Saccharomyces cerevisiae S288C: one gene and its partners. The protein of the gene in region 1 interacts with the protein of each later gene in a biochemical or structural test. Each region holds a gene or a part of one and is shown in the gene's direction. Other genes may lie near its edges. The genes, in order: TEM1, BFA1, BUB2 and CDC15.

Region 1 (7,979 bases):
AGATGACGAAGTTGTGCTGGAAAATATAAAACGCAAGGAACAACTGATGCAGACCATACATCAAAACTCTGCAGGAAAACGAAGGTTACCTCTCGTGAGATTCAAAGCTTCTGATATGAGTACGAGGATGGTGCTTGTCGAGCCGGAGGATTGGGCGATAGAAGACGAAAATGAAAAGCCACTGGTATCAAGGGTTCAATTACCGCTAATGCTTGCCTGGTCACTATCCATTCACAAATCTCAGGGTCAGACACTTCCAAAAGTTAAAGTGGATTTACGTAGAGTATTCGAAAAGGGTCAGGCGTACGTTGCCCTTTCTAGAGCTGTTTCAAGAGAAGGACTACAGGTGTTAAATTTTGACAGAACTAGGATCAAAGCACATCAAAAGGTAATTGATTTTTATCTTACTTTATCTTCAGCCGAAAGTGCCTATAAGCAACTTGAGGCAGATGAGCAAGTGAAAAAAAGGAAGTTAGACTACGCACCAGGCCCTAAATATAAGGCTAAATCCAAGTCAAAGTCAAATTCTCCAGCACCCATATCAGCGACCACACAATCTAATAATGGTATCGCAGCGATGTTGCAAAGACACAGTAGGAAGAGATTTCAGTTGAAAAAAGAGTCTAATAGTAATCAAGTTCATTCATTGGTTTCCGACGAACCTCGTGGTCAGGATACCGAAGACCACATCTTAGAATAAGTACATATTAATACACATAGTTATATAGAATACAAACTGCTATAATAATCAAGGCCGAGATACATAGTTCCGCGGTTTTATCTGTATTTATTTTGATATTGGTTCTTTGACACCTTTTTATCTTTCTTTCTTGCGCTTTGTTCATTCTATTATTTTGGTGAACCTCCTTCGATAGAAAAAAGTGAAACATTATCTAAATTAAAGTAAAATACAACAACTGGCTGTAAAAAAGGAATCAAAGAACTAAAGCCAAAGGAGACTAACTCACAATGCCTCTGTCACAAAAACAAATAGACCAAGTTAGAACCAAAGTGCACTACAGTGAAGTAGATACTCCATTCAATAAATATTTAGACATCTTAGGAAAAGTAACCAAGCTGACAGGAAGCATTATAAATGGCACATTATCCAATGATGATAGCAAGATTGAAAAACTTACTGAGCAAAATATCTCCCAACTAAAAGAAAGTGCTCATCTTCGATTTTTGGATCTGCAGTCATCAATTGACACAAAGAAAGTAGCAGACGAAAATTGGGAAACATGCCAACAGGAGACATTGGCCAAGCTGGAAAATCTCAAAGATAAATTGCCTGATATAAAGAGCATCCATAGCAAGTTGCTTTTACGTATTGGAAAACTACAAGGTCTTTACGATTCTGTCCAAGTAATTAACAGAGAGGTGGAAGGCTTGTCAGAAGGCCGTACCAGCCTTGTGGTGACACGTGCGGAATGGGAGAAAGAACTTGGCACTGATCTGGTCAAGTTTTTAATTGAAAAGAATTATCTCAAACTAGTTGATCCGGGCCTGAAAAAGGATAGTTCAGAGGAGAGATATCGTATTTATGACGATTTCTCTAAGGGCCCAAAAGAGTTAGAAAGTATCAACGCCTCAATGAAATCGGATATAGAAAACGTAAGGCAGGAGGTATCGTCTTACAAAGAGAAGTGGCTAAGAGATGCAGAAATATTTGGCAAGATCACATCAATATTCAAAGAAGAACTTCTGAAGAGAGATGGCCTGCTCAATGAGGCAGAAGGAGATAACATTGATGAAGATTATGAATCGGATGAAGATGAGGAAAGAAAAGAGAGGTTTAAAAGGCAGAGATCAATGGTGGAAGTGAATACTATAGAAAATGTGGACGAAAAAGAGGAAAGCGATCATGAATATGACGATCAGGAGGATGAAGAAAATGAAGAGGAAGATGATATGGAAGTAGACGTTGAGGATATAAAAGAGGATAATGAAGTTGATGGGGAAAGCAGTCAACAAGAAGATAATAGTCGCCAGGGTAATAATGAGGAAACAGACAAAGAAACTGGAGTGATAGAAGAGCCAGATGCGGTTAATGACGCAGAGGAGGCAGATAGCGATCACTCAAGCAGGAAACTTGGAGGCACTACAAGCGATTTTAGTGCGTCTTCCTCTGTTGAAGAAGTAAAATGACCACGTATAATGCATAGCTCTTACTAAATAGAAAAGGCATATAGACACATAGGCAAGTTATTACAGTTCAATAGAAACCGAAATCGGTAACGTAAAAAATAACAACCATAAAAAGACAGTATTGGACAAAAGAGCAAGTTCTGTATGGTGCGTCACCTTCTTTTTTTTAGTAATAATTAATTATATTAATAATAAAGAGAAAACATATTAATAAATTGTGTACATGTCAAATCTTATAATTTATATTTATTTTGTTTACACAGTTTCCAAGACTTCATCCTTGAAACCAGAAACCTTCTTACCCTTTTCTTCACCGGAACCTTCACCATGCAAAGCCATCAAAGCACCAACGTCGAACTTTGGTTGTTTCAATAACTTAACCTTTCTAACGTGGATGTTTTGTAGTGGGAAGATGTCCTTGGTAGCATTTTCGATTTCCTTGTTGATAACTTCTGGAATCAATTTGGAGGTCAATTGAGCCAAAGTAGAGTTTTGAACTTCTCTGGTCAAGATTTCAGAAATAACTTTTCTGATAGCTCTGATGTGGGAAGATTGAGCGTAAGAGTGTCTCTTAACTTGGTTAGCTTGCTTTCTGGTGAAGGCAATAGCAAAGATTCTCAAAACGTAATCATCGGAAGTCTTAACGGTAACATTAGCTTCGATCAAAGTTTGCCATTTTCTGACCATTGATCTCAATTTGTCGGTAGTGAAGTCCATACCGTGGAAGTTGGTCAACAAGTTCTTACCTTGAACTTCATCGACTCTCAACTTGACCTTTCTGAAAGAATGGTCTTCAGAACCTTGCAAGTCAGCCAAACAAACTTCGACAACTCTACCCTTCAAAGCATCGGAAGCATTCTTCAAACCAGTGGACTTGTTAACTAAAGTCTTACCAACATTTCTGTTTTCAAAAGTGGATGGGGCTTTAATATCGAACCATTCCTTTCTGGTAAATGGGTCAACGACCTTCTTCTTCAAACCCTTCTTACCTCTGGATAGTCTCTTATTCTTACCAACAGCCATGATTAGTCTAGATCGGTTTTTTGCTTGGTTTCCTCAAAGGCGAATACAACTAACTAAGTTCAAATCTGCTACCACTCACATATATCAAAATACCACTACTAACTATACATTGGAACTCACTAATGAGGACACTGGTATTGTGAAACTGTGTTACGTTCAGCGTGGCAATCATCACTCCGGCCTGGAGAGTCCAGCCGGCCGAGGCGGCTTCACACCGGCACCACCTTGATTCCACACTGGATCTACCGCGTCCTTCCCATTTACTCAGTAGCACTTCTACCGGACATCCATGCTGCTCTTTTTTTTTCAGTGGAGCTCCTGCAGGAATAATTCTTAGTAAAATTCATAAAAATATAGTGTACTGGTGCTATGGTGTATGGTGTATGGTGTATGGATGTACAAAAATGCTGTCTTCAAATCTAGAGAAATTATTTTATGAAAAAGCAAAAAAGGTAAACAAGAAAAGGAAGAAAAGAACCCAGAAGGGAAAAAATAATATAAATTGGATTATAGATGATTGATTGGCTCTTGTCCTCAGTTTTTCGAGAAAAATATAGATATTACGTTTGGATTTTGCTGTAGAAATTAAATTGAGTTAAGCTAAGATGGCTACACCAAGCACGGGAGCAAACAATTCTATACCTGCGGTACGAAATCAGGTTGAAGTTCAGGTTGGATTAGTAGGGGATGCACAAGTAGGGAAAACATCGCTGATGGTGAAGTACGTACAGAACATATACGATAAGGAATACACACAGACGCTGGGAGTGAACTTTTTGAAAAGAAAAGTAAGCATACGCTCCACGGATATTATATTTTCTATAATGGATTTAGGCGGACAAAGAGAATTCATCAACATGCTCCCAATTGCGACGGTAGGGTCTTCAGTGATCATATTTCTGTTTGACCTGACACGTCCAGAGACGTTGAGTTCAATAAAGGAGTGGTATAGGCAGGCGTACGGGCTAAATGATTCGGCAATTCCTATTTTGGTGGGCACAAAGTACGATTTACTAATAGACTTAGACCCGGAATATCAGGAACAAATCTCGAGAACGAGTATGAAGTATGCACAGGTCATGAATGCTCCTCTTATATTCTGCTCTACTGCCAAATCTATAAACATTCAAAAAATTTTCAAAATTGCACTGGCAAAGATCTTTAATTTGACATTAACCATCCCAGAAATCAATGAAATCGGCGATCCTCTTTTGATATATAAGCACCTAGGTGGCCAGCAACATCGACATCATAACAAAAGTCAGGATAGAAAGAGCCATAATATCAGGAAGCCCTCCTCGTCGCCCTCATCTAAGGCACCATCGCCGGGCGTTAATACATGAAAACAACTATACCCGCCTGCTACCATGTGAGAGTTGGCGTTAGCATATTTTAAATCAAGCTACACAATAGCTTTAAGGAGATATAGAAGGTATGTACATCCACAATATCGTATGTTTTGGATAAATGCGCTACTATGTAGGTATATGTATGTGTATGCTAGGTCATGAATAATAAAAACCGAATCTATAAATTTCTCAATGTCTCATCCTCATTCATGGCTCTTTTGGCTTCTTCTACTGATATATTTAGCTTGACACAACATATTCTATCGTTCTTCATAGTTTGTTTAAACAATATTCCCGCGTCAAGTAACTGATTGAGAACGAAATCCCATGATATAATTCTCAATTGTTCAGAAATATTATCACTTCCCTGTTGGAACAATGTTTTGGCTATCTCCATGACAAACTTATTACTGCCATTTACTTCAATAAGTAACTTGATTTCATCGACAATATCGCCCAGTTCTTGCTCTTGAGATCCGTTCTTTTTCATCAAGTTTAATAATGCATAAATAAACAGTTTTGCTGTAAATGAAAGTCGCGTCATAAACGTAATTACATGAGAATTTAAAGTTTCGTTTAAGGCTTTCATAACGTGCGTGATGTGAACTGTTTGTACCCCATCATTGTCATCATCGTCATCATTATCGTCTTTGGCTTTGTTACTTTCAATAAGATCCTTGTCTTCATCATCGTATATTTGCTCCTCATTTTCATCTTCAATAACCGTCTTTCCATCATATCCATAACCATGCTTAGCCATATAGTGTTTTTCAGCAATTTCAGCTGCTCTTTTACAAACCTTCAATGCTCTTCTTGCATCACCACTAACACTTGCTACTTTTCTCGAAGCTATTTCAATGGCATCAGCACTCATTCTTAAGCGAACTTTCCTCACGTCTTCAGGCAACGTTTGCTTAACTGTAGTGTCGTTTCCAGCCGCATCAATCAAAATAGCATTGCCAGTTTTTGTATCAACATAGAAAAATGAGTCGTTCAACCCCTTCAGTCTTAAATCAATGATATTTTTTAGCTCTTCGTGCGTATACCCAGTGAACATAATTCTGGTAAACCCAATTCTTGAAGTAATCTTATTGCCTAGCTGACGTTCTGGTAAGTCCATTGTATTGGCTACTGCAATGACAATAAGTTTGGCATTTTCGTAAGTAGTCCAATTGAAAAAATTGTACATAATATCTTGAGATTTCGTTACCATGGCATCGAGTTCGTCCAACAAGACTACAATGGTTTTCTTCTTATTTTTTGGAACTCTTTTAAAGTAAAACTCTAGTGACTCCATTGAAGCTGCCCATGTTAACCTTTCTCCTGACACTTTGTTCCATAAAGTTTCGTAACAGTCTGTGGGTTTTACCATTTTCAATCCATTTATTTCCACATAAAGAAAGTCTGGTATTTCTCGTTGTGCAGAAGACGATAGTAGTTCCTTTACGACTTCCCTTACGGTTAAAGTTTTCCCTACACCAGGCGTACCAGCCACGTATATAGTAGTAGCGGAGTCGGACTCAATGGCACTATATGCACTTAAATAAATTGAGGCGAATTCATTCTCCCTAGCCGGTAAATAATCTTGGAAATTTGCAGACTTCAATATTTCTTCTTTGACATACGAAGAGTTCAACTGTTTTTTGACTTTAGAAAAAATTGTTTCTACAATCTGATGCTTTTGGGTTGTTTTTAATTTGTTTTCAAACCTTGATGCCATCAATTCCGAAGAATTTCCGTAAAATTCAGGTAATGAAGTTAAATCTGGTATTGCAGCTATAGATTTAAATCTTTTCGAAAACGGGGTATATTTCTTTTTCGCCCTAGCAACATTCTTTTTTGTAAATTTCCTAATCACAGGAGTATTATTTGCACGGCATGAAGATATCAATAGCATCTGACGCGGTTTACTAGGATCTTTAGGTTTACGACCTCTTTTTTTGGGGGGAGGTTGTACAGAAGCGTCAATATCATCTTTACCTAGTTTTATCTTACGGCCTCTTTTCCTTGGTGAATTTGTATGCCTAGCTTCTTTCTCTTCTTCGTCTTCGTCTTCTTCTTCGTCTTCTTCTTCCTCAAGCTCATCTGCGGATATTTCACCGCTGTCCATATCCTCGCTAACGTCGATATCTGACGGACTTTCATAATCAGATGATTCATCTTCATTACCGTCCTCATTATCCGTTATATCTGTAGCTCTTGTTTCTGCGTCTGAAATTTGTGCCGTTTGAGTAGCCTTATCTTTCTTTTGAGGACCTCTTTTGATCTCTTTCTTCTTTGATGGAAGTGTTAAATCTTTCAAATATTCCTGGGCTTCCCTTGGCTCCACTTTCTTTATGTAAGCTTTGACATCCTCAATATTAATGTCCACAAATTTCTCCCCAGTCGGCTCACAAATATAACGAACTGTAAAGTCTCTTTCTGGATCGACATTTCCTTTCAATACTTCCCATTTGCTTCCATCCATTACGTTGGCAACCCTGATAAAGTTAAATAGCTGCAATTCGGCTAATTCTGCAGTGAGATACAGTTCATTTTTATTTGCAGTTTCAGAAAACAGTTTATTGTAATAATTTAAAGGACGATTCAAAATGTTAGCGTCAGGATTAAACTGCCTATAATGAGCTAAAGGATTGACTTCAAACCATCGTAAATAGGTGAGAGCCCAGAGTTCGACAACATTATTTAATGTATTAAGTCTCAACTCCTGGATCATATAAACGGAGTAAGTCCCAGCGGCTTCGTTGTGCATGACTACACTATCACCACGACCTAGTTTAATTCCATCAGAACTTCTCTTTAAGTAATGTTCAGTTTTTGCACCTCTTCGGCGTAATCTCTTCTGACCTCCATCGATTATATTTCCCTGCTCATCAGTTGTTATTATCTCCCAACCCTGTAAATCCTTCAACGTTTTTGCCATCTTATCTACTCTATTGTGGTTTTTGTAATGAGTATTAATCAATAGGGAATGAGTTCCTGCTTCTGGAAACTTTTAGGCTGAATTTGCCGCCTATGCAGTTTTCTTTCCCTTTGCGCAACTTCATCTCTTCTCAATGTTGTTGTTTTTCTATGATTTTCGATCTGGCCGTGTCAACGTTAATAAAAAATAAGTCGAGGAAGAGAGTAGTTACATATGTAGTGGTGTTCGTTGGTGCAATATTTGTTGATATAACGATGAGACAGGTCACCAAAGAATTTCAAATATTTGAGGTTTATATCTTTTCTAATTTGGCGCCAAGTTATTATCCTGTGATACCCAGTAAGACAAAAAATGCCCCATAGCAGTCCTTATCTTAATACTGACCATTATGAAGGGGCTTACATTGTACAAACATATTTGTAATAGAATGTACCGGATATTTAAAATAACCCAAGCATCAATTGTGTAGTATTCTTAATTTTTTTTCTTGGTAAATTTTTGGGAGAACATTTTTTTGTGTCATCTTAGGGGAAATT
Region 2 (8,746 bases), on another chromosome or scaffold:
CCAATACAAATGTATCTTATACACTCGTCAAATCTTATATGAATCATGCAGGAGTAGCTCTCGTTTTCTTTTTACGAGCTACTTGAAAAAAAAAAACTAGCGAAAATCCTTTGCTTAGAAATCCAGATTTAAAACAAAACCGCCGAAAAGGGAAAGATTTTATGATAGGAAATACCTTAATAATTCTATATCATCCCGAGTCTTAGGAAAATGATTAGATCTGTGAGAAGGGTTTTCATTTACGTCTCAATATTCGTATTGATAATAGTTTTGAAAAGAACATTAAGTGGCACAGATCAAACGTCAATGAAACAACCAGTGGTGGTCATTGGCTCTGGTTTGGCAGGCTTAACCACAAGTAATCGTCTCATTAGTAAATACAGAATTCCTGTTGTGCTTTTGGATAAGGCGGCTTCTATTGGTGGGAATTCTATAAAGGCTTCTAGTGGTATTAATGGTGCTCACACAGACACTCAACAAAATTTAAAGGTAATGGACACTCCCGAATTGTTTTTGAAAGATACTTTGCATTCGGCTAAAGGCAGAGGGGTTCCATCACTGATGGATAAGTTGACTAAGGAATCCAAGAGTGCTATCAGGTGGTTGCAAACAGAATTCGATTTGAAATTAGACCTCCTTGCGCAATTGGGCGGTCACTCTGTTCCAAGGACCCATAGATCTTCTGGCAAATTACCACCAGGTTTTGAAATCGTGCAAGCGTTATCAAAAAAACTAAAGGATATCTCTTCCAAAGATTCCAATCTCGTGCAGATTATGCTAAACAGTGAAGTAGTGGATATCGAGCTTGATAATCAAGGTCATGTTACTGGTGTAGTATATATGGACGAGAACGGAAACCGTAAAATCATGAAGTCACACCATGTCGTGTTTTGCTCAGGTGGATTTGGTTACTCTAAGGAAATGTTGAAAGAGTACTCACCAAATTTGATTCACTTGCCAACTACTAATGGCAAACAGACTACAGGTGATGGTCAAAAAATCCTTTCAAAGTTGGGTGCCGAATTGATTGATATGGATCAAGTGCAGGTACACCCTACCGGCTTCATTGATCCAAATGACCGTGAAAATAACTGGAAGTTTTTGGCTGCAGAGGCATTGAGGGGTTTAGGCGGCATCTTATTGCATCCCACCACTGGAAGAAGGTTTACAAATGAATTGAGCACCAGAGATACAGTAACCATGGAAATACAGTCTAAATGTCCGAAAAATGATAATAGAGCACTTTTGGTAATGAGCGACAAAGTCTACGAGAACTATACGAATAACATAAACTTTTATATGTCCAAAAACTTAATCAAAAAAGTGTCAATCAACGATCTGATCCGACAATATGACCTACAAACTACAGCTTCTGAACTGGTAACTGAACTGAAGAGCTATTCCGATGTTAATACTAAGGATACGTTTGATAGGCCATTGATTATCAATGCCTTTGATAAAGATATTTCGACTGAATCAACTGTTTATGTTGGGGAAGTTACACCAGTTGTTCATTTCACAATGGGTGGTGTGAAAATTAATGAGAAATCTCAGGTAATTAAGAAAAATTCGGAAAGCGTTCTATCTAATGGGATATTTGCTGCTGGTGAAGTTTCGGGTGGTGTTCATGGAGCCAACAGATTGGGTGGATCTAGTTTGTTAGAGTGTGTTGTCTTTGGAAAGACAGCTGCGGATAACATAGCAAAATTGTACTGAGAATTTATAGGGAAATAAAAGATATTTTTGCAACGTACTTTACATTTCAATAATTAATGCGACATGATAGGATATACTGTTTGCTATTTCTTTCCGTAACGATATACGATTTTTTCTTTTCTTTGGAGTTCCAAATGAAGAATATATCTTGTTGGGAAAAGCTATAGTATTAGGTTTACAGAATATGGTAGAGGTTTCTCCCCGACGATATAGGAATCTACAAGAGAGAGCATGATTCTACACGATAATACTGCAATTTCTTCTTTGCGTTGAAGTGTCACCATTGCCTATCCTTTTACATTATCAATGTCAATGTTCCCTCTTCTAACAAACTGAATGACTTTTCTACACGATTCATATTATCTTCTTGCGCAGTAAATTATGTTAACGTAATAGTAGGGTCTCTTGTGCTTCATTATTTTGTAACTGTACACATAATTGACACGTTTAACAATTAGTGAGCGCAAGTGGTTTAGTGGTAAAATCCAACGTTGCCATCGTTGGGCCCCCGGTTCGATTCCGGGCTTGCGCAGTTTCTTTTCTTTTTTTCTGGAAAATAAGAAAACTTATTTATGGAAGCAAAAATGGAATAAAGGATTGGGACGAAGTTAGTGAAAAAAAACTGAAATAGTCCTAGAGTAACTCCGAAGTGTCTTTGTATAAGCTATTATCTAGAAATCACGAGAGGGGAAGAAATGTATCGCAGTAGAAACCGACCAAAAAGAGGTGGAGAAAATGAAGTTAAGGGACCAAATTCTGCCTTGACTCAATTTTTAAGAGAAGAAGGGATCAGTGCTGAAAATATCAAACAAAAATGGTACCAGCGACAGTCGAAGAAGCAAGAAGATGCAACAGACGAAAAAAAAGGTAAAGCGGAGGATGATAGCTTTACTGCCGAGATATCTCGAGTAGTTGAAGATGAAGAAATTGATGAAATTGGAACAGGTAGTGGTACCGAGACAGAAAGAGCTCAGGTTTCCTACGATGCCAGGATGAAATTAGTCCCTGCTGATAGTGATGAAGAAGAATATGAAACTAGCCACATTTCTGACACGCCAGTCAGTTTAAGTTCGGCTAATGACCGGGAATCATTGACTAAAAAAAGGCAAAATACTGCAAAAATTATCCAAAATCGTCGCAGAAAGCGTAAAAGAGCAGCTGACCTATTGGATAGACGCGTCAACAAAGTATCCAGCTTACAAAGTCTTTGTATTACGAAAATTAGTGAAAATATATCCAAGTGGCAAAAAGAGGCTGATGAATCATCAAAGTTGGTATTTAACAAATTGAGAGATGTCCTTGGTGGCGTATCAACCGCTAATTTGAATAATTTGGCAAAAGCACTATCGAAGAATAGGGCCCTGAATGATCATACTCTGCAACTTTTCTTGAAGACAGATCTAAAAAGGTTAACTTTCAGCGATTGTTCTAAAATTTCATTTGATGGTTACAAAACGCTAGCCATTTTTTCGCCACACCTAACCGAATTATCCCTACAAATGTGTGGGCAGTTGAACCATGAATCATTGCTTTACATTGCTGAAAAGCTTCCGAACTTGAAATCACTGAATTTAGATGGACCATTTCTGATCAACGAGGACACATGGGAGAAGTTCTTTGTAATAATGAAAGGTAGATTAGAAGAGTTCCACATTTCTAATACGCACCGCTTCACCGACAAATCATTATCTAATTTATTGATCAACTGCGGTTCTACCTTGGTATCCTTAGGGTTATCCAGACTAGATTCTATATCAAATTACGCTTTATTACCGCAGTACCTAGTCAACGACGAATTTCACAGTCTCTGTATTGAATATCCATTCAATGAAGAGGATGTTAACGATGAGATCATCATAAATCTGCTAGGTCAAATCGGGCGCACGTTACGTAAATTGGTTTTGAATGGCTGTATTGACTTGACAGATTCAATGATAATCAATGGTCTGACTGCATTCATTCCTGAGAAATGTCCATTGGAGGTATTGAGCTTGGAAGAATCAGATCAGATCACTACAGATTCACTGTCGTACTTTTTCAGCAAAGTAGAACTGAATAATTTGATTGAATGCAGCTTTAGAAGATGTCTACAATTGGGCGATATGGCAATTATAGAGCTATTGCTTAACGGAGCAAGAGATAGTCTGAGAAGCTTAAATCTCAATTCATTAAAAGAGCTAACTAAGGAGGCATTTGTGGCGTTAGCCTGTCCTAATCTGACGTATCTTGATCTTGGTTTTGTACGTTGTGTTGATGACTCGGTGATTCAAATGTTGGGTGAGCAAAATCCGAATTTAACTGTAATTGATGTTTTCGGAGACAATTTGGTTACTGAAAAGGCCACAATGAGGCCTGGACTTACGTTGATAGGGAGACAGAGTGACAGTATATAATAAAATAAAGACATATAAAACGTGTATTAGATAGAAAACGGAAAATTGACTAATGTTTTTATTCCTATTATACTCAGATCGTCAAATGTTGCCTTTATTTTCTATTGAAGGGATTTTATGGCATCTCGCGAATAATAAACAAACAATAATAGTAAAAAAAAAAGTGTAAACTTATGTATTCAGCGCAGATAAAAGGAAAAAAACGAGAAGTTTGACGTAAAGAAAAAAGTTCGAAAACTTTTGTAGCAGTTGAAAGTTTTGTATGCTATGTCAATTAGGCCTCTCACGTTAAACGGTTTAGATGAGCCAGAAACCTCTTTTGAAGAACTGAATACAACTCTACCTCGCTTTCAATCCCATGAAACATTAACTTTGGAAGAAAACGTGCCACCATTGAGTACATCAACTTATATACCGCCTCCATCCTCGGTAGGTACTTCTGACACTGGCACGGTATTTTCCAATAGTACCAGCGCGTTTTGGTCTAATAAGCAAGCAGACGATGATCAGGACATGGAGGTAGACCAGGATGATGAATTTCTAAATGACTTCCAGGAATTCCAAAATAAAAAGGATGATTTTGACGATGCTATTAAAACAAATTTTCATTTGAGAAATGGATGTCGAACTGGCCCTTTCAAAAACGACATTTTCGCAGAAGAGTTTGATAGAAAACTGAGTTTGGAAGATAAACCAAGGCTAAAGCAACCTAGATCAATGATGGAATTGAAACCAAAAAGAAAACTATCAAATAGCGTCACTTCAAGAAACTTAAGGTCTGGTAATTCTGTAAGATTTAAGAAATCTATGCCTAACTTAGCTTTAGTTAATCCAGCTATCAGAGAAGAAGAAGAGGACGAAGAACGAGAAAGAGAAGATCAACGAGAGTTTAATTACAAGATTGATAACGATACGCAGGACACAATTTTGGCGAAATTCAGTTCAGATGATGAAGGTGACTTTCTGACAGGATTTGAAGAATTAGAGGGTGAAGCAATTGATGAAACGATTTCTTCGAACGATAAAGAAAGTGCCGACCATCCGCGTTTCTTAAAGAAGTCATCCTCATCTTTGCCATTAAAAATATCACCTGCACAATATGATATAGTAAAGCATGACGAATTATTAACTCCAGGTCTTCATAGGCGACAACGAGATTGGAATACCCAGCAGGAACTGGACTCTTTTAAAGAAAAACGATCAGTAAGACACTGTTCTAATCAAAATGTACAACTCAATGGTCCAGCTAAAATCAAAACAATAAAACAGCAAATTGATCATAATACTCCAATGAAGAAAGGTTCTATGATATATAACCCGAAAACTATGAAGTGGGAAGGAAATGAAAACGTCTTAAGCAAATTTAGTGATGTAGACACGGCAAACAGGAAAGCTTTATTGATAAAAAACAAGCTACAACGAGATGCAGATTCTAAGAAGCAAAAATATTCTGATCTACAGCATGCAAGAGCCACTTCGAGAAATCAAAAGGTCATCGGGAACATGATTTTAGATGAACAAAATTTAAGATGGGTTAGTGTTTCAGAGGAAGAAGCAGACCCTTTTGCAGGCATTCCTGAGATAAACTTACCACCAGTTGGCAAAAGTATGAAAAAACGTAGCTCCTCACCATTTTTGCGTTCCAAAAGCCAAGTTAATACGCCATTTGTTTCAAATGACAATGATGGCGTTTATCAAAGTACGGCTGCTCAAGCAAGACTCCGTAAATACCATTCAATGAGGACACTTAACGGTACAACAGAAACTCCAGAAATAAGCTCTACTTTCCATTTGAGTTCAAGAGCATTGGAAAAATTTTACCACGAGGAGAACAGGTGGTGTAAAAAGTTAGCCTCATGGTTTATACCCCGAGATGAGACCATTATCAGTGTTGATGAGGAAACAATCATGGATGAAAGTACGGTCAATAGCAAGAGAAAATCCTATATGTATGAAATCAGGAACATGGTAATCAATTCGACAAAAGATTAGCCCTTTAGCCTTCTTATAACTGTTTCTTTACCGTTATCTTGAGTACATTCATTTCTCTTACATTCCAAAATTAGATAGAACCTTGAATCGTGTCAACTTTTCGCCGACATTTCGCGTCTGACAGAAAAAGAAATGTTGCAGAAAATTCGAATAGATGTTTCAAATGAAAATAGACCATGAGGGACACATTAACATTTCAAACAAAAGAGCCCTTGATGATTATTAAAACAGATCTTTATGGTTTGTTTAGCAAACACTTTGGTAATTTCATGAATATTTGACTAGCAGGAACAGAAAATCAAAAATGTTTAACCATGATTGGAAGTACTCCATTAATTCTAAGACTTTCGCCGATTTAAACATTGAATTATTTCGAAACCACAAGTTCAAAACTGTTTTAAATTACATAATAGGTGTAGTTGGGTGGAATGGATTAAAACTCGCCCTTTTTGTTTCTGACATTTACACATGTATCAAATTGCTGGCATTCAACTCCTGGTCAAACAACATCATCAAACCATACTTACCCTTTAAAATATCCAAATGGTTGTTTAGCGGTTGTATTTTAGCATCGATTGTGCTATTGATATGGGAGGCTATAGCGGGAATGAGGATTTACAAAACGGGAAATATCTCTTTGACTTATGTCAACAATTTTTCCAGAAACCTAAATTCAGTGCTCAATTATTCCAAGTTTTGTGTTTATAATATGATCGAACGAAAGGGTTTTCGACAGAAAATGACATTTTTTACTTTTTTTCAACTGAAAGATTGTATTAGATTAATCTTCACGGATACCCCAAGGCAAGTTATTAATGGTCTTACGCTGTGGTCAGTTCTCGTAACAGTAAATAAAAACGAGGATCTAGGCGATCTGGAATCATTTACCGGTTTGATCAACAAAATAAAGAACATTGGCCAGACCAATCATGAAGAAGCAGTGATATTGTCGCTGATGCTATTTTCCTTTATAATCTGGGCATTATTTGTCTTCAAGTTTCTGCTTGCTGTCATTTGCTCGATTTTTGTTTATTATAAAATAATCAATGATCAGGAATATAGCGGGTTGCGTGAGTACATTTGTGTTACCGTCAGCGAAAATGTTGATGAACTTGTTGAAAGACAAAGGAAAAAGGAAAATGATGACACGATTTATAAGACAGGTCTTCTCGAATCTCAGACTTTTGACGATTTTAAAGAAGTTGAAAATAAAATTGAAACATCTTTTAATGATACGTCATATGCTTCTAATAATGATTCTATGATTGAGCTAATAGAGAGAAGACCCGAATACAAAAGTCAGGATGTATGTGGGCCCATTCCCACAATGAAGAAAACGGAAACAATGGAATCGTTCGTTGACAATGGCAATCCACAATATACCACTAGATTCTCTGCGATTCTAGATTCACCATATATCAACAGCTATGAAAGTAATGATATAAAGAAAGCAAAAATACAAAGCAGAAGCGTAAATACTCCAAAATATGAGGATTTGTCTTCTTCTGACATTTTCAACAAAATACACTCTGCTGGACAATTAAAATCTACAACTTCTATGGAGTTTCACGGGCCATTAGATTCTATGCCAAATACAACAAACAACATCCGTAATTTTAATAGCAACAGTAGTAGACCTAGACCACCTCCTTTACAGACAAAAAGTTCGATTAATTCAAAAGCTGACTCGAATGATAATGGAAGGATTTATACACCAATGAAAGCGTACTTCAGGGAGCCTGATCTTCCGAGGAAGGGTTTGCTGGAAGATGAAGATCGTACATATAATTATACTTAATAGGCTGGCAAAAGCCCTTTGCATATTTCATGAATTAGATAGACGTGATTAGAAACAGCCGTTAGTATGTTTCTGATAAAAATAATACTTTTTTTGTAACACTATTTTCATATATTGGATTGATACCGGTTATAGCACAAACATAACAGCCATGAAAGTTTCTTTGAAAACCCCTTTTAACATTTGCTTGTAAGAGATAGGTTAATTTTTTATAGTTGCTGAGATTCCATTGTTGGTAAAGACTTAATATTAGGTATACAGAATATACTAGGAGTTCTCTCTGGGTATGTAGGAATCCACAAAAGGGTGTCACTAGTTCAACATAATAACATCTTTTTTTTATTCCTTCTTTGATATTTTGTCATATTATCCTATTATTTTATCAATCCTTGCATTTCAGCTTCCAATAGATTTGATATTTGTTTCTCAATATTATGTCATCTTCATACACAGTATGTGATAATATACTAGTAACATGAATACTACTAAATGAGTACTACCTTAGGGGTTCATTACAGCAGCTTAAGCGAAAGTAGAAAATGAGGCGGATATTTGTTGGAATAAAAATCAACTATCATCTACTAACTAGTATTTACGTTACTAGTATATTATCATATACGGTGTTAGAAGATGACGCAAATGATGAGAAATAGTCATCTAAATTAGTGGAAGCTGAAACGCAAGGATTGATAATGTAATAGGATCAATGAATATTAACATATAAAATGATGATAATAATATTTATAGAATTGTGTAGAATTGCAGATTCCCTTTTATGGATTCCTAAATCCTCGAGGAGAACTTCTAGTATATCTACATACCTAATATTATTGCCTTATTAAAAATG
Region 3 (5,388 bases), 240 kb from region 1:
TTTTGTTCAAAAGAAACTGATCATGTCATCGATTAAAAGTAAAAGTATGCACATCAGCCTCGTGACAGATGAGGATCTCATGTCAAAAACCGCCAAGAAGCATGCATTATTGAATTTGAAACGTGGTAGATTATTAAGTATATGTCTATGTAATATTAAGTAAGACAAGGGCATTCACTTTACATGCAAATGCATTTGGAACCCTTGACCGAAAAAAAAAAAACAGGTTAACCGCAAAATACATGATCTTCCTTTATTAGAAGAACCGTTTGGCTTTAGTTAAAAATTGATGCTTTTCAGTGGAATGACGATCTTCGTTTACCTGACGCTCTTCATTTTCATCAACCTCATTTAGCAAGACTTCAGGGTCCACGTGCAAGTCTCGAATAACCTTTTCGGTCGCATCTTCCATATCCATCATACCATAAATTGCAATTGTGATAATACCAAGAATACCGGCAAAGCAGGAGAATGTCATGGCAATAATACCTTTTTTGGTAAAACCGGTAGGAATGAAGGCATGCTGAACATTTTCACCAGTTAAATCAGTTAAATCCAGTGTATTGGCAGCGGCGTTACCTTCAGTGGCCACAGAGCAACTCTGGCAAACTTCTAAGTGGTTTTCACTGAGTTGTTGAGAATGAGCATCTTGGATACCAAAAGGATCCTCCACGAGAACAAGACCCAAACCTTGCAACAAATGCCATTCGATATGACAATGGAAGAACCAAACACCTGGGTTATCGGCTTTAAACCTGATGACGAAATTGGATTGTGGTCTAACGTATAAAGTATCTCTTCTCATTGGGTATTCTGGGAAGGCAGGGTGGTTGTCCGGATCGAAACTGTGAGGAACTTCACCTAGGGCATCATCATATGTACGATCTCTCTGGATGGTTTGGAAAGCGTGACCATGTAAATGGAAAGGATGGGTACCTGTGTCCTGGTTATTTAGCACAATCTCCACGATTTCATCCTTCTCTAGGATGAAAGTGTGCGTGTTTGAACCGTAGATTTCGGAGTTGTTTGCTTGATCACCTGAAGACAAAACGGTCATCAAAGTAGGAACTTTTGGTGCAGTATAGGTGATATTATTGAAGAAGGCGTAATTCACACCGTTTTTCAAGTTATCCATAACAACGTCAACGGTAATCACATGATCTGGCTCGCCATAGATGGCTTCTTTCTCGTACGGTTGCAAGTAGAAATCGTCCAAGAAGTTATCAATTGAATCCACGTAATTTTGTGTGGGCAGCGCAGCGGTTTTGTTGTAGACCATATAAGAGGTTGCATTCAGCTGTAAATCACTTGGAATGACATCCAACATGGTGTCATCAAATTTCTGCATGATGGCGAAATTTTTGTCCGTGTCGTTTTTAGTGTGAACCAGGACTGTATATCTCTGAGCGACAGTGATGTAAAGCATATCCGTTACGTTCTTCTCGGTAGTGATACCGTCGATTTCGACCACGGTCATTTCGTGGTCCTCGATCCAAAAGTACTGCGAAACGAACCCACCCACGTTGACAATTCTCAAAAGATACGTCGTATCGGGCTGGACTTCCCATGTCAGATTCATCGTGTTGTTAACAATCAAGTTCTGTGGGATGGGCTCAGCACCTGTCGGATTATAAACACTCATGAACGACTTCGTCAAGTCCGTGACCAAGTCGTGGTACCACTCACTAAGCGATAAAGAAAGTTCCTCATCGTAATCGTAGGGGAAGCTATCATCCTTGATGATGAAAAGACCTTTCATCCCGTCTTCATATTGACCGTCCGTGTGTGAATGGTACCAGTAGGTGCCTACATTGTAGTCCACCGTGAAATTGTAAAGCATAGTACTGCCTGGCGCAATTGGACATTGCGTCAAGAAGGGCACACCGTCCATAGAGGCGGTTCCGTTTTGGAAGAGACCGTGGAAATGCATAGAAGTATTGGTGTTGTTCATTCCGTTGGTCAAGTAAATCTGCACACGGTCACCTTTGTTGACCGTTATATCTGGCCATGGGAACTGGCCATTACAGGTGATCACGGGACGGCTCTTTAGCCCATCAACGTTCCTGTAGTCCCAGCCAGTGGTCCAATTAAACGTGTGCGTCTCCGCTTGTGCTAGCGAGAGCATCGAGAAAAGCAAAACGGCTATAGAGAGCAAAGCGTTAGTCATCTAGTTCTAATTTTTTGCTACTCTTCCTTACACTGGGGTCCTCTTCGTTTCCTATGCCTATCCATCGCTTATAGAACAAGAGCTATAGGGCATGGCCTGCTTACATACATATATATATATATATATATATATATATAATCGCACTACATGCACGAGGCCTTGGCATACTCCCTCGAAGGATCGACTGTTTGAGTGCATCCTTCATTTTCTGTCGCAATTGGCGAGAATAAGAGCACCTGCAAATGGGTGCACTTTTGAAGATGGGCCTTGCCTGTTGGGCCTGCCTAAGTCAGCCTCGCCTAGCTCTAGGCGGAGGGTCTTTATCGGCGACTCAGCGTACTGTAGGGACCACCCCAGGCGCAACGGGCTGATTCGCACCCGGAAAGTAAAGCTTATTTCTGTCGGACGGAGAGTGTCCTTTTTCTCTCGCAGAAGACCATTTATTGGTCCTGAAACGGTATGAACATGTTATTATTCCTGTAACCGTGAAATAGGCAAGCCAAGGCATTATCGCAAAGAAGGCAGCACAGATTCTCGTATCTGTTATTCTTTTCTATTTTTCCTTTTTACAGCAGTAATGTCTCACACAGAAACACAGACTCAGCAGTCACACTTCGGTGTGGACTTCCTTATGGGCGGCGTTTCTGCTGCCATTGCGAAGACGGGTGCCGCTCCCATTGAACGGGTGAAACTGTTGATGCAGAATCAAGAAGAGATGCTTAAACAGGGCTCGTTGGATACACGGTACAAGGGAATTTTAGATTGCTTCAAGAGGACTGCGACTCATGAAGGTATTGTGTCGTTCTGGAGGGGTAACACCGCCAATGTTCTCCGGTATTTCCCCACGCAGGCGCTGAATTTTGCCTTCAAAGACAAAATTAAGTCGTTGTTGAGTTACGACAGAGAGCGCGATGGGTATGCCAAGTGGTTTGCTGGAAATCTTTTCTCTGGTGGAGCGGCTGGTGGTTTGTCGCTTCTATTTGTATATTCCTTGGACTACGCAAGGACGCGGCTTGCAGCGGATGCTAGGGGTTCTAAGTCAACCTCGCAAAGACAGTTTAATGGATTGCTAGACGTGTATAAGAAGACACTGAAAACGGACGGGTTGTTGGGTCTGTACCGTGGGTTTGTGCCCTCAGTTCTGGGTATCATTGTCTACAGAGGTCTGTACTTTGGCTTGTACGATTCTTTCAAGCCTGTGCTGTTGACGGGGGCTCTAGAGGGGTCCTTTGTTGCCTCTTTCCTATTAGGTTGGGTCATTACCATGGGTGCTTCCACTGCGTCGTATCCCTTGGATACGGTAAGAAGAAGGATGATGATGACTTCGGGCCAGACCATCAAGTACGACGGTGCTCTGGACTGTTTGAGAAAGATTGTTCAGAAAGAGGGCGCGTATTCCTTGTTCAAGGGCTGTGGTGCCAACATATTTAGAGGAGTCGCTGCAGCTGGTGTCATCTCATTGTACGATCAGTTGCAACTCATAATGTTTGGCAAAAAATTCAAGTGAAAAAAAAAGAAAACAACAAACGAATAAAATCTAAAAATTCTACATATTCTTGCTATTTATTTACATATTCATTCTTGCTACATACCTGTCTTATGCTATAATGACACTGGAGGTCTTCTTTCTTCTTTGAATTTATGTCCTGACAATTCAGTAAACGCCGTGCGGAAGGGAACCGTTTACGTACGCCAAGCTAAACATTGAAAAAAAAAAAAAAAAAAATGATAATAATAGTAATAATAGTAACGACGTAAAGGTAAAAGAAACAACAGACTTTTAAACTTGTTAACTTTTGCATGACCTCAATTGAAGATCTGATATCAAATCCTCCCCTGCTACTGCATTCCTCACTCTCTCAACTTCGCTACCTCATACTCAGTGAAGGGCTTCCCATATCTGAAGATAAACAGCAGCAGCGCACGCGATGTTACGTGTGGACGGTGCTCTCTCAAACTTCTATGGAGGCGTCTACACAACGGTACCTTGCGCTCTTGAAACTGGGCCCACCTTCCACAACCATTTACCAAAAAATCAAGAACGACACATCCAGAACTTTTCAGACGGATCCAAACTTTAGAAATAGAGTCTCAGAGGATGCCCTCATCCGGTGTCTGTCGTGCTTTGCTTGGCAAACACAACAAAGAAGACAAAAGACTCGTTTTGGTCGCATTCCTGTGAGCACATATGTGCAGGGCATGAACGTGTTATTAGCTCCTCTGCTTTACTCATGTCCTTCTGAACCTATGGCGTATCAACTTTTCACTAAGCTTTGTTATGAAATGATACCGACGTATCTAACTAAGAACCTAAACGGCGCCCAGAACGGCGCCAAACTACTAGATATTTCTCTCAGAATCATTGATCCAAAGCTGAGTAAATTTCTATCGGACAATTTACTTACAGCAGAGATTTATGGTATGCCTTCCATACTCACGTTATCCAGCTGCAATAAACCGCTTGATCAGGTCATTAAACTGTGGGATTTCATGTTTGCATATGGATTCCATATGAATATTCTCTTTGTGGTGGCATTCCTAGTTAAAATGAGATCCAAGGTTTTCAAATCGGATTCCCCTGTTAATTTACTACGACAGTTTCCGGATTTTGATGCTGACGAGATCATTCGGCTGGGCGTCGGGTTCATCGCTAAGATCCCTGCTCAAATTTATGACCTATTGGTAGACCACTTGACCGACCCAGACATATATATACCGTAAACTATGTGAAGAAATATTATATTTTATCGTTTAATTCTACAACGTTTATATGTCTGTATGTGTAAAAAAAAATAAAACGAAAAAAGCAGTGGGTAGATGAGAAAATTTACAGTAATTTAAGGTTATTATTCTATTATTGCACGAAATGAAAATGGCTCGTACGCATATCCTTCACCTTCAAAAAATTTGGACATTGCCTCCACCCAATGCAAACGTAGCGCATGCAACATTGCGGAAGTACCTTCCATGAAAACTAGGATACAAACGGTTAAAACAAACCACATAGCAAATAAGAAAACCACCTTCATGACAGCCAAAGGCGACCCTGAGTTTTTAGAACTGAAAGCGTTTGAAATTGTCATATCCCATAAAACACTAGATAATTGCGCATGCGCCAACGATAGTGCCCAAAGACGTAGATATGATGCTGTATGAGAGATACAATTTAAACAGAATTCAATAGTATGGATTACCTGATGAATCATGACATCGCCGAAATT
Region 4 (9,673 bases), on another chromosome or scaffold:
GCAAAGTCAATATCCAGATGTGGGCATACCTGCAATATGAGTAGAGTTTACGTATCTAATATATTGGTATAAAAAGAACGCATCTTTTTTTTTTTGGGCTGTTCTGGGCTCCAGGAAGTCATAAATTGTGGGTACGCTTTAGATGTGTTTGCAATATTTGCAACTGCTCTCCCAAAAAAAATTAGCATTGCAAGATATTGAATAACTGGGTCGTCCCGAAGCAACAGTGGGGAAATAGTTTACGAGTTTTGTTCAAGTTAAAAGCATTTTTTGTTGTGAAGAGAATAAACTTGATTTCGAAGGAGATCAAATTCGAAATAATCTGCGAATTTATTATGATCGACTAGGCAACGAAGACGCAGTTTTCTATTAAATCTGTGCGTTTGAGTAACTTAACTGACTATAATATCGCAATCTTAACATCATTAAACAATGTAAAAGAGGTCATACGCTATAAGAAGTTGATTTGATCCCCCGTGGATTTTGAAAAATGTCAAGATCAGCATATTGACCCATGTTTTTCCGCTCAATCCAGTCTATCAATCATTTTTCAACAAGGATAACCATAACATTCACCCACCATGCTTTGGTTCATAAGATATACGGGGAGATCAGCAACTCTTCAACTTATTGAACATGTTGAGAGCAGGATTAAATAATCAATGTCCTGTGATTGCAACATCTATCATGCCTGACGTTTCTCGAACGATACAATCTACAATTTAATGAGCCATTTTAGCATATTAACGAGGGCTGCATGAGGATCGAATGGACAAAAGTGTTTTCAGGCATGGGAGAATGGGATGCTTATAGAGGAGTTTAACCATGAAATTAAATGATTCTCCAGCAAGAAAAAAAAAACTCCTGACTCAGTTCATGTGGCGGGAAATTTCTCTCATTGTCTCCCCCTGCAGCGCTACTAATCTTAAAGGTAGTGGTGGCTTCGACATTATATCGTTGGTTCAGGTTGTCCGATCACTAATGATCTGTTACTTTATTGCTATGTTATGTGTCAAAAGGTGATATCCCCATTTTTACTGATCGCAGTAATATTTTAACCTGCCATGGTTAAATTGTTTATTGTCATTGAGTTGAGCACTTTTTCATTGCACTGTAGTTGTTGCGTATTTCAGACTTACTCTTATAGTGACGCTAACAGGAGGTCTGGCTCTTAATACAAGGACGTCGTAATATTCTGTTCACCGGACTCGAAAGCAAGAAGGAAAAAAGCACATTGTAGCCTTTTCAAAAACCTATCTTTTGGTACTAATTTATGGCGGCCCATACAGAGAGCTACCCTAAGAAATAGTTCGCATTCGTATATGAACTTCGGCTTTGAATATTGCGGATTCGTGCACAATACAAGACTTCTGTCGTTCCATGTCATCTATTGCGCGATTATTTTTTCACCAATTCCTTTCATTTCTAGTGGTTTCAAGGCGCAAGATTAATCTTAGATTTTACCTCCATCAAAAGCTCGGTAATTGGCACGTCATTTTACTATATGGCCTCAACAACATCGCTATACAGATTTGGGCGCCCTACTTAGCGAGACTTCCTACATTTGGAAATTACCCTAAAGGCATATTCTCTTCATGTAATAGCTCGCACAATGTAACCCGATTCAATTGATGCCCCAGTCGTCATTTATGTACAAGCATATCTACGCTGGCTCTGAGACTTGTGTTGTCCAAACAAGAACCCCCATCATATCTAGCGTGAGTATCAAATGGTTGGCAATAGTTTGTGTGGTCTGATTATTTACGTACAGCTCCCCTTTTTGTGTGCATATTCCTGCAGATGCGACTCTAAGAGCTCACACTTAATTTTTCATTGTTTCTAATTTGGGAAAAGTCCGATTTCCCTCCTACTAACCGTTTAGTGCCAAGGGTGAGATGGCCCTTGAACGAGGGCCCAAAATAAATTTGGCTTTGGTTCTATTTCTTGGCCAAAACTGCAGCTGCAGCCCTATAGGCACTTTTCCTGTAGAGAACATTCTTGTGCTATGGAACATATGAAAGGATGGGGCATAAAAAAACGGCTTCCTATACGAAGTATAGCATCGTTCAAGAACAACCCGTCCCCATAGTAATAATGACTTAGTCGCTAAGTGGAATGTGGAAGGCATGAGTGTGAGATGGGCGACCAGTAAGAGCCCATGTGTGCAGATGTAGTTGTTCAAAGTTTCATATAAATACAGCGGCTTGATCAGCTTTGTTTGAGACATTTCTCTGTTCTTTTCCTTCCAGTTAAGCCTATATCATCACTAAGCAATAACCCAAAAAACAACAAATACAATGGTCAAATTAACTTCAATCGCTGCCGGTGTCGCCGCCATTGCTGCTGGTGCCTCCGCCGCAGCAACCACTACATTATCTCAATCTGACGAAAGAGTTAATTTGGTTGAATTAGGTGTTTATGTTTCCGATATCAGAGCTCATTTGGCTGAATACTACTCTTTCTAAGCTGCTCACCCAACTGAAACTTATCCAGTTGAAATTGCAGAAGCTGTTTTCAACTACGGTGATTTCACCACCATGTTGACTGGTATTCCCGCCGACCAAGTTACCAGAGTTATCACTGGTGTTCCATGGTACTCCAGCAGATTAAAGCCAGCTATCTCTAGTGCTCTATCCGTAGACGGTATCTACACTATCGCAAACTAGAGTCCCTGCTTTACGAATGAAACCTGTACAGGTATGAGAGGTTACGAAAAAAAATGATAAATGAAAAAAAAAAAGCTTAATAATATGAAATTAATAGTATGAATAGTTAGGCGCATGTATATAAATATAAATTTTTGTATATATGTATTATTAATATTATAAATTTCTTATTATTAAACCATCCTTTACGGAAATAACGGCCTATTCCCTTAGTATTTTGTTGTAGCTCGTGGAGTTATCCATTTTAAATGGATCTTGGGATAATTTTTACTGCTTCCCTCGTACTGGGAGCTTAATACACGTTCGTCTTGTTATCATCATAAATATGTGTTTATTATTCTCGCCTGGAAGGAAATCTTCAGTATAAATTCGTGAGGAATTTAGAATATAAATAATTCAATCATAAGAAAACATAAAAAGATCAAGTAAATAATAGAGGCATACAAGCATAACCAAATAGTACTATAAACAATTTTAAATTACACGTAAGAGATAATGGGTTATAAAGTATGTTTTTTTAAGCCATTACTGCAGCGTTCTTTATCATTATTTGAGTTCGAATGTGGAAAATGACGACTGAAATTTATAAGATAAAATATTCGAACTATATAGAAGAAAATTTTACACTCTTCGCCTTTGAAAAACATGAGTGAATGTCCTTGATCGTTATTTGGCCTTCTGAAACTGTCCATATGGGTTATTTTGAGTTCCTTATAAAGGCTTGGCGCATTATCGAATATCGTTTAGTAAAATTTATGATCCACTTGCATCGGCATGGGCATGAGCAGTACTCATTACAAAATCCAAATCAGTGATATTTACAGTAGTCACAAATTACTGTTATTTTTTATCCATTTTTGTAGTTTTTGTACAAATATACTATTGGAAATAGAAAAAAATTCCTTTGAAAGGATCAATTTTAAGTGGTAAATAGAATGAACAAGCCCAGGACAATGGATTCAGAAGGGGCCTTATCGTGTCTCATAGATATTTTTCTTCTCGGTAACCTTTCAGTAATTTCTTGAGCACGAACTCGAAGCGTTTCATCAGGTATTTCATAACTATGCATGATTTTTGATGGCTTTGCATCATATTAGAAGAAAATTTTGCAGCTGAAGAGCTCTAATACGGCTTTTCTGTGGTCGTAAAGACAAGGCTGTTCATAACGCTTGTTGCCATTATGTAGCTTTGCACATCTCATATCGGTAAGGATGTCGTTTGTCATCTAGCGGCGAACTACTGTAATGTAATAATGTCCTCTGGCGTCGTGTATGGAAAAGAGGCATAATCAAAATTGGGCCTATCAACTCATTAGCACTCTATGCTATACTGTAGTGCTCTGTGCGGACTTTGCTGTGCCATTATAATCCTTTCCACCTTGCGATGGTCTTTCCGCTTTTCTTGCTGTTATTTTTGTATACGGGAGATCTGCCTCACAAAAGGTATATCTTCTACTTGGAGGCTCGAGGAAGGACAAAACACACATAAGCACTACCCATTTTCCTGGTAAGACTATACCATGAACAGTATGGCCGATACCGATAGAGTCAACTTGACTCCCATCCAGAGGGCATCTGAGAAATCCGTGCAATACCACTTGAAGCAGGTCATTGGGAGGGGTTCTTACGGGGTAGTTTACAAAGCCATTAATAAACATACTGACCAAGTCGTGGCAATAAAGGAGGTCGTGTACGAAAATGATGAGGAACTTAATGACATTATGGCAGAAATTAGCTTGTTAAAAAATTTAAACCATAACAATATTGTTAAATACCACGGCTTCATACGAAAAAGCTATGAATTGTATATCCTCCTCGAATACTGCGCTAATGGTTCTTTGAGGAGGCTCATTTCAAGGAGCTCTACCGGATTAAGTGAAAATGAATCGAAAACCTATGTGACACAGACACTATTGGGGCTGAAATATTTACACGGTGAAGGAGTCATCCACAGGGACATCAAGGCGGCTAACATCCTGCTGAGTGCTGATAACACTGTCAAACTTGCTGATTTTGGCGTTTCCACTATTGTGAACTCCAGCGCCTTAACGCTAGCGGGCACACTCAATTGGATGGCTCCAGAGATCCTGGGCAACAGGGGAGCTTCTACGCTCAGCGACATTTGGTCTCTAGGTGCCACTGTAGTTGAAATGCTCACAAAGAATCCACCCTACCACAATTTGACAGACGCCAATATCTACTACGCTGTTGAAAATGATACCTACTACCCACCTAGCTCTTTCTCTGAGCCACTAAAGGATTTCTTATCTAAATGCTTTGTGAAAAACATGTACAAGAGGCCGACAGCCGACCAGTTACTCAAGCATGTGTGGATCAACTCTACCGAAAATGTGAAGGTCGACAAGCTCAACAAGTTCAAGGAGGACTTTACCGACGCTGATTATCATTGGGATGCCGATTTTCAAGAAGAGAAACTAAATATATCACCCTCTAAATTCAGTCTTGCAGCGGCTCCCGCTGCCTGGGCAGAAAACAATCAAGAACTAGATTTAATGCCCCCCACTGAAAGTCAATTGCTGAGCCAATTGAAGAGTTCATCTAAGCCTTTGACGGACTTGCATGTGCTTTTCAGTGTTTGCTCCCTCGAGAACATCGCTGATACAATTATCGAGTGTCTGTCGCGCACAACTGTTGATAAACGATTAATAACTGCATTTGGCTCCATTTTTGTTTACGATACCCAGCATAACCACTCTAGGTTGCGACTGAAATTCATCGCTATGGGAGGAATTCCACTGATCATTAAATTCGAACATTTAGCCAAAGAGTTCGTCATCGACTACCCTCAGACTTTAATTGAATGTGGAATAATGTATCCTCCGAATTTTGCATCGCTGAAAACCCCAAAGTATATTTTAGAACTCGTCTATAGGTTCTACGATTTAACATCCACAGCCTTCTGGTGTCGCTGGTGTTTCAAACACCTCGATATATCACTCCTTCTGAATAACATCCATGAAAGAAGAGCCCAATCCATACTACTAAAGCTATCGTCATATGCACCATGGTCTTTTGAGAAAATTTTGCCCTCTTTAATTGACTCTAAGCTAAAAAAGAAAATTTTAATCAGTCCTCAAATTACTTACGTAGTCTTCAAATCAATAAACTATATGATAACCACGAATGACGATAAAATACACAAGTCCGCTATTCCTTCTTCTTCCTCTCTACCGTTATCCTCCTCACCCACGAGGAACTCACCAGTGAATTCGGTACAGTCTCCATCAAGGTCCCCTGTTCATTCTTTGATGGCAACGCGTCCCTCTTCTCCAATGCGACACAAGAGCATTTCAAACTTTCCCCATCTGACCATATCTTCAAAATCAAGACTACTAATTGAATTACCGGAGGGTTTCTTTACCTGGCTAACATCTTTTTTTGTTGACATGGCCCAAATCAAAGATTTATCTGTTTTAAAGTACTTCACCAAGCTTTGTTACCTTACAGTACATATAAACAGCACTTTTTTAAATGATCTGCTTGACAACGATGCTTTTTTTGCTTTTATCCGGAATATTGATACCATCATTCCCTTTATCGACGACGCAAAGACAGCAGCTTTCATTTGGAAACAAATCACTGCTATATGCGTTGAAATGAGTTTGGATATGGACCAAATGAGTGCTTCTTTATTTTCTACAGCTATGAATTTCATCAGAAAAAAGAATAACACCTCCATAAGTGGACTGGAGATCATACTGAACTGCTTGCATTTTACGTTACGCAATGTAAATGATGATGTGGCTCCTACAGTGGGCTCATCAGAGTCTCATAGTGTTTTCCTCATAAAGGTCAACAATGACGCTGCTATTGAATTACCGATTGATCAATTAGTTGACCTGTTTTATGCATTGAATGACGATGACGTTAACCTCAGTAAACTAATTAGCATTTTCACGAAGATATGCTCATTGCCCGGTTTTGAAAACCTTACAATTAATATCATATTTCACCCGAACTTTTATGAAAAGATTGTTTCTTTCTTTGATACCTATTTCAACAGTTTACTTATTCAAATCGATCTATTGAAATTCATAAAGCTAATATTCTCAAAATCGTTATTGAAGCTATATGACTACACAGGACAGCCGGATCCTATAAAGCAAACCGAACCAAATCGTCGTAATAAGGCCACTGTTTTCAAACTTCGTGCCATTTTAGTACAAATAACGGAGTTTTTAAACAACAACTGGAACAAGGATGTCCCAAAAAGGAATTCAAATCAAGTTGGGGGGGACTCAGTTTTGATCTGTCAGCTATGTGAGGATATCCGTTCATTATCAAAAAAAGGAAGCCTGCAAAAAGTTTCAAGCGTCACTGCAGCAATTGGTAGTTCTCCAACAAAAGATGAGCGTAGTAATTTGCGATCCTCCAAAGATAAAAGTGACGGCTTTTCCGTCCCCATTACAACATTTCAAACATAATGTAGGAATTGCATGTGCATACATACATATATAGAGAAATAATACAGCATTACATTAACACTATATATAGAATTGTGAACCTTCCAATACTGAAAACGCATCTGTTTGGAAAAGAGATCAGAAAAGTTTTTGAATTTAAAGAGGCCAGTAATGATAAAAAAGCATATACATATATATGCTTTTTTTCTTTTCTTTTTTTTTTCAATTGGGGATTAAATGTATGAACGACTCAAAGTGCATTTTGTTAAATGTTTCTAGCTATAGATCAATAAATCTGAAATACGATATCTGACATGATTGCAGTGGCACAGTCTTCCGATAGGTTACAGCCAAGTTTTTTTTTTAAGGTTTCTGAATTTTTTCATTACGTTTCCTAATTAGGTTAAACGTAAATAAAAGCGACTTTTCAAAAGAATATCAAATCATATAACATGAAAAGAGCAAGATTCACAATACTAATTTCAATGAGAGTGCTATTTGATAATTGAATCAATTCTCTGTGTGAGTATGCATAGACGACAGTTTTTCCAAGAATACCGTAGTCCTCAGCAGCAGCAGGGACACCCACCAAGGTCAGAATACCAAGTTCTCGAAGAAATTGGGAGAGGTTCATTTGGGTCTGTACGAAAAGTCATCCATATACCTACCAAGAAACTTTTGGTTAGAAAGGATATCAAATATGGCCATATGAATAGCAAAGAGAGACAACAGCTGATCGCTGAATGTAGCATTCTATCGCAGTTGAAGCATGAAAATATTGTAGAATTTTATAACTGGGACTTCGATGAACAAAAAGAAGTGTTATACCTTTATATGGAATATTGTTCCAGGGGTGATTTATCCCAGATGATTAAGCACTACAAACAGGAGCATAAATATATACCAGAAAAAATTGTGTGGGGTATCCTGGCCCAATTATTGACTGCGCTCTATAAATGTCATTATGGTGTTGAATTGCCAACTTTGACCACAATATATGACCGGATGAAACCACCGGTAAAAGGCAAAAACATCGTTATCCATCGTGATCTGAAACCAGGAAATATATTCTTAAGCTATGATGATAGCGATTACAATATTAATGAACAAGTAGACGGTCACGAGGAAGTGAATAGTAATTATTACAGAGACCATAGAGTGAATTCAGGGAAAAGGGGGAGCCCTATGGACTATAGTCAAGTTGTGGTAAAGTTAGGTGATTTTGGGTTAGCCAAATCTCTGGAAACTAGTATTCAATTTGCCACAACATACGTCGGTACACCATATTACATGTCGCCTGAAGTGTTGATGGACCAACCATACTCCCCACTATCCGACATCTGGTCACTAGGTTGTGTTATTTTTGAGATGTGTTCGTTGCACCCCCCATTTCAGGCAAAAAATTATCTCGAGCTACAAACTAAGATTAAAAACGGGAAATGTGACACCGTCCCTGAGTATTACTCTAGAGGGCTTAATGCCATAATACATTCAATGATAGATGTGAACTTAAGAACCAGGCCTTCCACTTTTGAATTACTGCAAGATATTCAGATACGAACTGCAAGAAAGTCGTTGCAATTAGAGAGATTTGAAAGGAAGTTACTGGACTATGAAAATGAGCTGACAAACATTGAAAAAATCCTCGAGAAGCAAGCTATTGAATACGAAAGAGAACTGAGTCAGTTGAAGGAACAATTTACCCAGGCAGTGGAGGAGCGAGCCAGGGAAGTAATTAGCGGTAAGAAAGTTGGTAAGGTTCCAGAATCTATAAACGGATATTATGGTAAAAAATTTGCCAAACCTGCATACCACTGGCAAACAAGATATCGATAAAATTTGCTCTGAGAACATTTATACATTAATACATACGGGTATGTATGAATCATATTCAGTGAGGAGTTACACTGGCGACTTGTAGTATATGTAAATCACGTTAGTGAGACCATTTAGACCCTGTCAATGTTTCATAAGCCTCTATATATTTGGCCCTTGTCCTGTCGACAATGTCTTGGGGCATTTTGACGCCGTTAACACCGTTCAACTTATTAGCAGTAAGCCAGTCTCTTAAAAATTGCTTATCGTAAGAATCTTGGGATTCTCCTACCTTATAAGAGGCACCGTTCCAGAATCTAGAGGAGTCTGGCGTTAGCACCTCGTCCACTAGAATAATTTCATTGGTCTTTTCGTCAATACCGAATTCGAATTTAGTGTCTGCGATGATGATGCCCTTCTCCTTAGCATAATCTTTGCACTTGGAGTACAGTTTTACAGCCAGTTCTGCCACTCTACGTGACAAATCTTCACCCACCAGCTCAGCGGCCTGGGCAGGAGAGATGTTTTCGTCATGTTCACCTTGTTCAGCCTTGGTCGATGGGGTGAAGATTGGTTCTGGGAACTCTTGAGATTCTTTAAGTCCTTGAGGTTGTTTCAAACCATGCACAGTACCTGTTTTTACGTACTCTTTCCAAGCAGATCCGGTGATGTAGCCTCTGACAATTACTTCCAATGGAATTAGTTTATGTTTGTGAACCAATAGAGAGCGGTCTTCTAGTTGCGTTTTGTACTTTGGTTCGCTCAATTT

What was found.
Region 2: the proteins of TEM1 (region 1) and BFA1 form a complex in vitro, tested with the Saccharomyces cerevisiae proteins (4 studies listed by BioGRID, with this or other methods).
Region 3: the proteins of TEM1 (region 1) and BUB2 form a complex in vitro, tested with the Saccharomyces cerevisiae proteins (4 studies listed by BioGRID, with this or other methods).
Region 4: the proteins of TEM1 (region 1) and CDC15 form a complex in vitro, tested with the Saccharomyces cerevisiae proteins (one study listed by BioGRID).

What each region holds. Positions count from the first base shown.
Region 1 is NC_001145.3:141,674-149,652, reverse strand, and holds TEM1 (Ras family GTPase TEM1), read left to right. Parts: upstream 1-3,776; coding exon 3,777-4,514; downstream 4,515-7,979. Other genes in the region: DNA helicase PIF1, read left to right, coding at 1-700; MFT1 (Mft1p), read left to right, coding at 970-2,148; 40S ribosomal protein eS1 RPS1B, read right to left, coding at 2,404-3,171; ORC1 (origin recognition complex subunit 1), read right to left, coding at 4,699-7,443.
Region 2 is NC_001142.9:529,651-538,396, forward strand, and holds BFA1 (Bfa1p), read left to right. Parts: upstream 1-4,376; coding exon 4,377-6,101; downstream 6,102-8,746. Other genes in the region: OSM1 (fumarate reductase), read left to right, coding at 211-1,716; UV-damaged DNA-binding protein RAD7, read left to right, coding at 2,412-4,109; KCH1 (Kch1p), read left to right, coding at 6,406-7,899. UniProt on the Saccharomyces cerevisiae protein: Part of a checkpoint which monitors spindle integrity and prevents premature exit from mitosis. This cell-cycle arrest depends upon inhibition of the G-protein TEM1 by the BFA1/BUB2 complex.
Region 3 is NC_001145.3:385,601-390,988, reverse strand, and holds BUB2 (Bub2p), read left to right. Parts: upstream 1-3,967; coding exon 3,968-4,888; downstream 4,889-5,388. Other genes in the region: ferroxidase FET3, read right to left, coding at 257-2,167; ADP/ATP carrier protein AAC1, read left to right, coding at 2,745-3,674; STV1 (H(+)-transporting V0 sector ATPase subunit a), read right to left, coding at 5,014-5,388. UniProt on the Saccharomyces cerevisiae protein: Part of a checkpoint which monitors spindle integrity and prevents premature exit from mitosis. This cell-cycle arrest depends upon inhibition of the GTP-binding protein TEM1 by the BFA1/BUB2 complex.
Region 4 is NC_001133.9:169,648-179,320, reverse strand, and holds CDC15 (serine/threonine protein kinase CDC15), read left to right. Parts: upstream 1-4,185; coding exon 4,186-7,110; downstream 7,111-9,673. Other genes in the region: DFP1 (DUP240 family protein), read left to right, coding at 1-40; seripauperin PAU7, read left to right, coding at 2,298-2,465; serine/threonine protein kinase KIN3, read left to right, coding at 7,618-8,925; ADE1 (phosphoribosylaminoimidazolesuccinocarboxamide synthase), read right to left, coding at 9,026-9,673. UniProt on the Saccharomyces cerevisiae protein: Protein kinase of the mitotic exit network (MEN) essential for late nuclear division in the mitotic cycle. Promotes mitotic exit by phosphorylating DBF2 and directly switching on DBF2 kinase activity.